Drosophila melanogaster: one gene and its partner. The protein of the gene in region 2 interacts with the protein of the main gene of each other region in a pairwise test. Each region holds a gene or a part of one and is shown on either strand. Other genes may lie near its edges. The genes, in order: Leash and SLIRP2.

Region 1 (5,197 bases), 2.2 Mb from region 2:
TGTTGTTTTTGCTGGTGGCGCTCTTTTAAGTGTTTGCGCTACACTTGTTACCAAGCGGCATGTTGGTTCACGAGCACAAAAGCTGACAAGTGATTTAGTGTTATATTTACCCACTCTTTATTGCCGTGTTCGCTCACAAATTGAATGGAATCATTGGTTGGATTCCCGTGATTAGTCACACATAAAACACATAAGCTTTAGCGAAAACTATGACCTTCATCACCTCTGTATCAAACAATTGTGGCGTGCTTGATAGTCTTATCGCCCATAAAAGTAGTCGAGTATGGTCAACTGAAATAATTTTGGTTTTACTGCCAAGATTATATGTTATTGACCCTAAATCAAAATATAAAAACAGATCCTATATTAAATAGATAAACCGAATTTTTTTATCATATCATATTAAATTTAACCATGTATCAATTCAATTTTTTGTCTTGCAGCTCAAGGAGAGGTTGAAGAACTAGAGCTTAGACATGTTTACGAAAATCTTTCGCGCTGTGATAATCGGAGCCCCCGGCTCGGGCAAAGGAACTATTTCGGAATTGATCTGCAAGAACCATGGATGTGTGCACATCTCCACGGGGGACATTCTGCGCCAGAACATCATAAAAAACACAGAACTTGGAAAAAAGGCCAAGCAGTACATTGCTGAAGGTAAACTGGTGCCCGACGCGATTGTGACCAAGACGATGCTGGCCCGGATAACCGAGGTAGGCAACAGGTCGTACATCCTAGACGGATTCCCGCGCAATATAGCCCAGGCCGAGGCACTGGCTGCACGCGAGCAAATCGATGCCGTGATCACGCTGGACGTTCCACATAGTGTGATTATCGACCGGGTCAAGAATCGCTGGATCCATGCGCCCTCCGGCAGGGTGTACAATATTGGCTTCAAGAATCCCAAAGTGCCTGGCAAAGATGATGTGACGGGGGAGCCGCTGATGCAACGCGAAGATGATAAACCCCATGTGGTGGCCAAGCGACTGGAGCTCTACGATGAGGTGATGAGCCCGGTAATAGCCTGGTACGAAAAGAAGGGTCTGGTTGCCACTTTCAAGGGAAAACAGACAAAGGAGATCTGGCCGATGATGGAGCTTTTCCTCAACGACCGCATAAATGCGTAATGGAGCAACCCCGAAATTACATCCAATGTGCACAAACTAACGATAAACTGCTGTGTTCAATTAAGTGCATAATATATTTAGATATATATAAATGAATACGTATGAAATATGTATGTTTGTGGGCCGGTTAAGAGGAACAGGCGTATAATTAATGTAATTGCGAAGCCTTACACAGTAGCAGCTGTCATGTATTCCTTCTTCCACAGATATCATTCCCCTCATGAGCATGTCTTGCAGCTCCCCCCTTTTTTGTATAAACATATTTTTGTACTCGTATTCTGTGCTCTGATAATAAATCGCGTTTTTTATATATATAAATATATATATATATGCGCTGATAACAGCCGACTTTGACTTTTGGGCAGTTAACGGACAGCCGTCGATCTATTTTTAGGCAATGTCCACAAACCCTTGGCCCCATGCGTGAAGCCAACACTTTTAGCTTCACCTCATGACACCCAAATGCCCTTCATTTTATCGCGTAGCGCATTAATTTCTAAAAAATATGGGATAGTGTGGCGCTCCCGTTTAGTCTCGCGCTCTCTTACTCACACATGCACGGACCAGCTGCTGTTCTCACGCACACCTGTATAGTGGCAAATCACAACAGAGAGGCGCTTGTACAGTCAAGGGCGCCCAATTATGTCAGATTTAAAATTCTTTAAGTCATTTATAAAAAATTCAATAAACCACTTATTGTTTTAAAGGTATACTTCATAATAAAATGGAGATAGCTGTTTGCCTTTTAAACACTATACTTCGGAATATACCATTACTGGGAATCTTATTTCTGGATAATTAAAAAAAAAAACCTATATAAACCCCTTTGTGGCCACCACTGTGCTGCGAGCGCCCTCTCACCTCTCTCTCATTTAGACCCGACTTGCGCTTGGCCCAATATTACGGCTTTTTCGGCACGCCAACTGAGTGTGCCTCTCTTCGCACATGCCCCCACCGTCTACACTCCCCTCTCGCGCGATGCGTTTGGGTTGGCATTTCCTGAAACAAATGCCAGTACTCAAGAATCGTGAAGAACGAAAAGAAATTCAATTGCAATTGCAACGGGCGGCAATTGAAAGCTTATCGATGAATGAAAGGCGAGCGCCGAAGGCAATTAGAGGAATTTGCGAGCAAGAATCTCGAAATTGCGGTGAAGCGGAGGGGGAGGAAGCCCCATAAAATGGCCGCTGTGCTTTGTTAACTGATGGAGTTCTTTGTTTATGCGAATGGGGCCGCAACGAAAGTCCAGCTGACCATCGGGCGGACAATGGATTGCAAACCGCTGACAAAACAGAAAAAAGCACATTTCTATTTGTGGAGTACATGATGGGTTGTGCAGAAAACCATCTTTGTTAATATTAGATTACTATATCTAAGCTAAATCTTTTCGGTAATACGATCTATATGTACACATGTAAACAATACCCAGAATCATAAACTAAGAGCCTAACGTTAAATGTAGGGTTTTGAAACACTTTCTCTGCGTGTCTACAGCTGAGTCATGGATGATGCAAGCCGAGCTTTGAGATGTGCATTCCAGGAAGCGGCAAGTTATGCTCGACTGGCACTTACCGCGTATTTTGGTGCGCTTGTTGACGTTCATCCAGATCTCGCCGCGAATTATGTCGCCCGCAAAGTAAACCCGATCCGCGCTGTCCAGCGTGATTCGCAGCCGCTCGCTTTCCATTCCGCTGGCGTTGATGGTGATGACTCCTCCGGTTTGGCCACTTTCCTCACGCACTTATCCAAAAATAATTTCGTCATCAAAATGCCGCCACATACAAACGTACATGGATGCACTGCAGCACCACGGCCCGCACCACCCTAAAGTATATGCAGAATAGTAGCACCACCACACGCACTCGCCTCACGATTTACGATTTGATGTTACTACACACACCGCGCGGTGAGTGGGAGCTTTTTCGCGCTGATTGTGGCCAGTTCTTGGGGAATCTCGATATCCATCAATTCGCAATGGCCCACAAGTGTTGGTCGCACACCCCGGGCTAATTTAATTCGATTGCTGTCGTCCGCTGGCGGGTTGAATAATTAAATTTCTTATAAATTTACGAGATCCGTGAGTTACGCTTTTTTGTTGTAGCTGCAGCTCTCTTTCGATAACCGTGAGAGCGGCGGTCCGATAGCACGAACAGCTGTTGCGCGGTGCTGCCACCGGGCGCCTGGCCAGCTGAAGCGGTTAATTCGCAGACTTTTTAATCGGTATTTTCAAATGTGTCTAATTTAAAGTTTAAGTTCTAAACAGCGTTTCTTAAATGCACTGTTTTCAGTTGTAATGCAAGAGTTCAGAAATGCTTGGTAGTAATGGTCTTTTTTTATGGTTTGATGTTTGAAAAGAGAAGAAGAAACTCTCTGTTTGAATATCGCCAATAATTTAAGTTGATATATTTCACTACGAATAATAATTACCAAATATTTTACTGTATAGATAACAAAACGCTCAGCTTAGATGTCAGCGATGATTGAAGCATACATACATATTTTATTAAGATTAAACTTTAGTTGGCTTAGCAGCATAATGCTCCATATAGTATTTCGTGTGCTTCCCCGTTCTGTCCTTCGCTTCTTCTTCTTGTAACCTCTCGCGCACAAAAGTTTGCTTCTCGGTTCTTCGGTCTCACCAAAGACTTTTGAGAATTCAGTATTAAGCCAGAGCTGCTCGCGTTCGGAGCTTGCGAGCTGAGTCGCCGGAACCCTCGAATACATCGAATCCCTACCTCTTCCACCAACTATCAATAAAACAAACAAAGGAACTTGATAGCGCGATACCACCCGACACCGTCGCCAAGGAGCCAATTCTGGACAGGATGAGCAGCAAGGTGAACTTCGTCTTCGACAGCAATCCTTTGGGGCTCTATCAAGCCGGTCAGCTTATCTCCGGCACGGCGGAACTGATTACGGAGCGCCCCAAGACGATTCGATGTAAGTGACACCGACATGCGGAAGAAGACGCACTACATACATATGTATTCTAATGGACTCGAAACCATGACGTCATCCCCCTCCATCACCATTCAAATTCTGAATCCCATACCGTTTTACCATCCACTAATAAATAAATATCCACTTAATATTGTTGGTGCTTTGTTATCCGCTGGTTTAATGTTATTGTTGCCGGTAGATATGCTTGAAAGATGTGTATTGTATATACAAATGTACATATATGTATGTATACATAAAGTTTATATACAACACACATGTGGCCGCTTGGCTGGCTGGCGGATATCTGATAGCGGCGTAAAAACTAGTTTTGTTTTGAAATTGCGTACGCTGTTTGTATTATTAGATATTTGATTCAGTTACTGGTCAGCCCGTTCGTGCCAATACCTTTAAATTGTAGTGTATAGGTAGCATTTTGGGTCAATTAGGCGTAATTCATGCAGATATACATATATATATAAATTTATACAAATCCCATTAGCAAGCTAAGTGGACCCTAGCCATCGGTTCAAATTCAAATAATCAAATATTTCCTAGGGTATCAAATAGTCGAGCCTTAGCAGCGCTTTAATTTGATGGTGAACTTTATTAGGTAGCATTCGTTTTTTTTATGCTTCTGATTAAATTATTGTTAGTTCATTAACAAAGACAGTTGTTTGTAGCTGAGCAATTTTCCAATACAATTCTACATCCGAAACACACAAAAGGTCCAAGGTCAATGGCAATTAAACTAAATGCATAATTGAATTACATACCCGGCAGTACAGACAAATTAATCCAATTGCAGCGATCTTTATAACCATAAATGGATACGGCGAGACGCGTTGGCAGGAAAGCGAGGAGCGAGTGGGAGAGGATGGGAAGACGACCAAGTCCCTGGTGACCCACACCACCACCGAGGTCTACTACAGCACTGACCAGCCGGTTTACGGCCAGGCCGGTGGCTCGCAGCTGGAGTTGCCCACCGGCAAGTACGTCTTTCCCTTCCGGGCTACCATTCCGCCCAATGCACCCACCTCATTCAATGGTGCTCATGGTCAGATTAAGCACGAGGTTACCCTAACCATCGATCGCGCGGTTCGCTACAACAACACATTTAAGCAGTGCTTCAC
Region 2 (2,746 bases):
AGGAGAAGCTAAGAGAGCTCCTGGAACAGGTCAACGACACGAAATCCTCCCTGGATAAGAACAAGAATGTGCCTATACTCTTGAAACTTTCGCCGGATCTATCTTTGGACGACATGAAGGACATCGTGTGGGTAATCAAGCGCAAGAAGAGCCGCGTGGATGGCCTGATCGTTTCAAACACCACGGTGTCGCGGGAAAACATCGAAAAGAACAAGCTGGCCGAGGAAACTGGCGGATTAAGTGGTCCTCCACTCAAGGCCCGCTCCACAGAGATGATCGCCCAGATGTACCAGCTCACCGATGGAAAGATTCCCATCATAGGCGTCGGCGGAGTGGCTTCCGGCTATGATGCATACGAAAAGATCGAAGCTGGAGCTTCCTACGTCCAAATCTACACGGCTTTAGTGTACGAGGGACCCGCTCTTGTGGAAGACATTAAGGCGGAGCTGTCGGCGCTGATCACACGGCTGGGTCACACTAATGTTGCGGACGTGGTGGGCACCAACAGCAAGTTCTACTTGCCCAAATGAATCAAAGATGCCACGATTTGAAGCAAGTGCTGCATTCATTTGTGTAAAACTAAGCTGTTAACAAACATTTCTCATGCTTTTCCTTTGGTCTAACCAATAAATCATTAAATTCTTCATTGATTAACTCTGAGGACTTTCATTCGCCCGCTGGACTGTGAGCACTCGTCCATCGAGGAAATGGGTGTTCTGGTTGCTGGCGCTGTTGAAGGCATCCCGTTGGCTGAAAACCACAAAGCCATAGTGCTTGGACAGGCCCAGTTGCCGGTCAAAGACCACCTCCGCGTTGGCCACGTGCCCGTACTTTGAGAAGTAGGTCCGCAGTTCCTTGCTACCTATCGTCCATGGCAGGTTGCCGACGAACAATTTGTAGCTGCTGCGAACAAATCCGCTGGACATGATTATGTATGTTTTAATTTTCTGGTTTTAAATCACTGGTGATTGTGCATTGATTTTAAGGTGGCGCAGATTGGTTTATGTAGGCGTCGACGTCACTTATTGACGAAATGTAACTTTTCAACTAGTAAAAACTTTAACAAAGCTGGGATTAATTTGTGAAAAATAGAAACTCAAATCTCTTGGTTTTAAAGAAATAATTATTTATAGGTGACATTTTTATATTCGTTTTATTACCCACCTCACTACTTTTGCACCTTGCAGGACTGCTTATCGCAAGCTAGTGCGCATACTATCGATGGCTATCGATTGGCCGCAAATAATCAATGTTTCATCTCTAGCTCTTTTAAGTTTTGGTTGCTATTTATGTAAATGTTTAGCGAAATTGCGGAAAAAGTGCATATCAGTGCGCTCGATTGCTGAAAAAGTAGTTGCGTTGCAAACGGCGAAGAGCCCATCAAAGGCGGCCCAGTAACCAGGCGATCGGAGGGCCAAAGGAGCATCAAGTCGACGTGTTGTATTCGGGGCGCGGCGCCTGCAGAAAACGGACAAAACATCCTTAGGACAGCCACACAAAGGCGCATCGATACTTTCAGCCACCACACACAATGGCCGAACGACCGAAAAATTTGTTTGCAAGTGAGTTACCCCTTTGGTCTCGAACCGCCCACGCAGGTCATACACATGCAGCCGAAGAGGACCACATACTCGCTGGGTGACGCATAGTTTGGAAATCTGGTGCAGCGGCGATAAGCCATCTATGAAGCCTCCTAAATTCTCCCATTTCCCACACATTCCAGCCGGATCCAGTCGCTCCCGCAATCCCCCGGATCAGCTAAGCCTGAATAATCTTAGCATACGCCATCCGCCCTCGTCCACGTCGTCCACTTCTTCGGGATCCACCTCCTCGGGCTCAAGTTCCTCATCACAGCACAACCATGTGACCCGCTGTTTTGGTGCCCAGCAGCCACAGCAAACCCCGCCGGTGGCCAGCAGTCAAGTGCCACCGGTGCCGGCAGCATCGAGCAGCAGCGCTGCCGATCGTCACCGGGAGCGAATTCGCCAGCAGGCCTGTGGCAAGCTACAGTTTGGTGAGGGCGGCGCTAATACACACACATTTACTTCAGACGATCTCGAGGATGAGGGCGAAATTGGACGCGGTGCATTTGGGGCAGTCAACAAGATGACCTTTAAGAAATTGGACAAGGTGATGGCCGTCAAGCGCATTCGATCCACCGTAGACGAGAAGGAACAGAAGCAGCTGCTCATGGATCTCGAGGTGGTCATGAAGTCCAACGAGTGCATTTACATTGTTCAGTTCTATGGGGCGCTTTTCAAGGAGGGTGACTGCTGGATTTGTATGGAGCTGATGGACACCTCTTTGGACAAGTTTTACAAGTACATCTACGAAAAGCAGCAGCGCCACATTCCAGAGTCTATACTGGCTAAGATAACAGTGGCCACGGTCAATGCGCTGAACTATTTGAAGGAGGAGCTAAAGATTATCCATCGGGATGTGAAACCGAGCAACATTCTGTTGCACCGTCGCGGAGACATAAAGCTGTGCGATTTTGGTATTTCGGGTCAGCTGGTCGACTCTATTGCCAAGACCAAGGATGCGGGCTGCAGGCCCTACATGGCGGTAATGATTGTCATTTGATTTCACAACATTTTTACCGCAATTGTATGCATTTGTGCAGCCGGAGCGCATTGATCCAGAACGTGCCAAGGGCTACGATGTACGAAGCGATGTTTGGTCATTGGGCATCACATTAATGGAGGTGGCGACTGGTAATTTCCCCTATCGTAAATGGGACTCTGTT

The links.
Region 1: the proteins of SLIRP2 (region 2) and Leash interact in a two-hybrid assay, tested with the Drosophila melanogaster proteins (one large-scale study listed by BioGRID).

What each region holds. Positions count from the first base shown.
Region 1 is NT_033777.3:10,883,590-10,888,786, reverse strand, and holds the start of Leash (leash), read right to left. Parts: upstream 3,248-5,197; 5' UTR 2,815-3,247; coding exon 2,700-2,814; intron 1,443-2,699; exon of another isoform or gene 1,128-1,442; coding exon of another isoform or gene 477-1,127; exon of another isoform or gene 444-476; intron 1-443. Other genes in the region: Ak3 (adenylate kinase 3), read left to right, coding at 477-1,127; CG14696 (uncharacterized protein), read left to right, coding at 3,953-4,067, 4,873-5,197.
Region 2 is NT_033777.3:8,649,297-8,652,042, reverse strand, and holds SLIRP2 (SRA stem-loop interacting RNA binding protein 2), read right to left. Parts: upstream 960-2,746; 5' UTR 927-959; coding exon 651-926; 3' UTR 550-650; downstream 1-549. Other genes in the region: Dhod (dihydroorotate dehydrogenase), read left to right, coding at 1-530; Mkk4 (MAP kinase kinase 4), read left to right, coding at 1,532-1,562, 1,724-2,565, 2,624-2,746.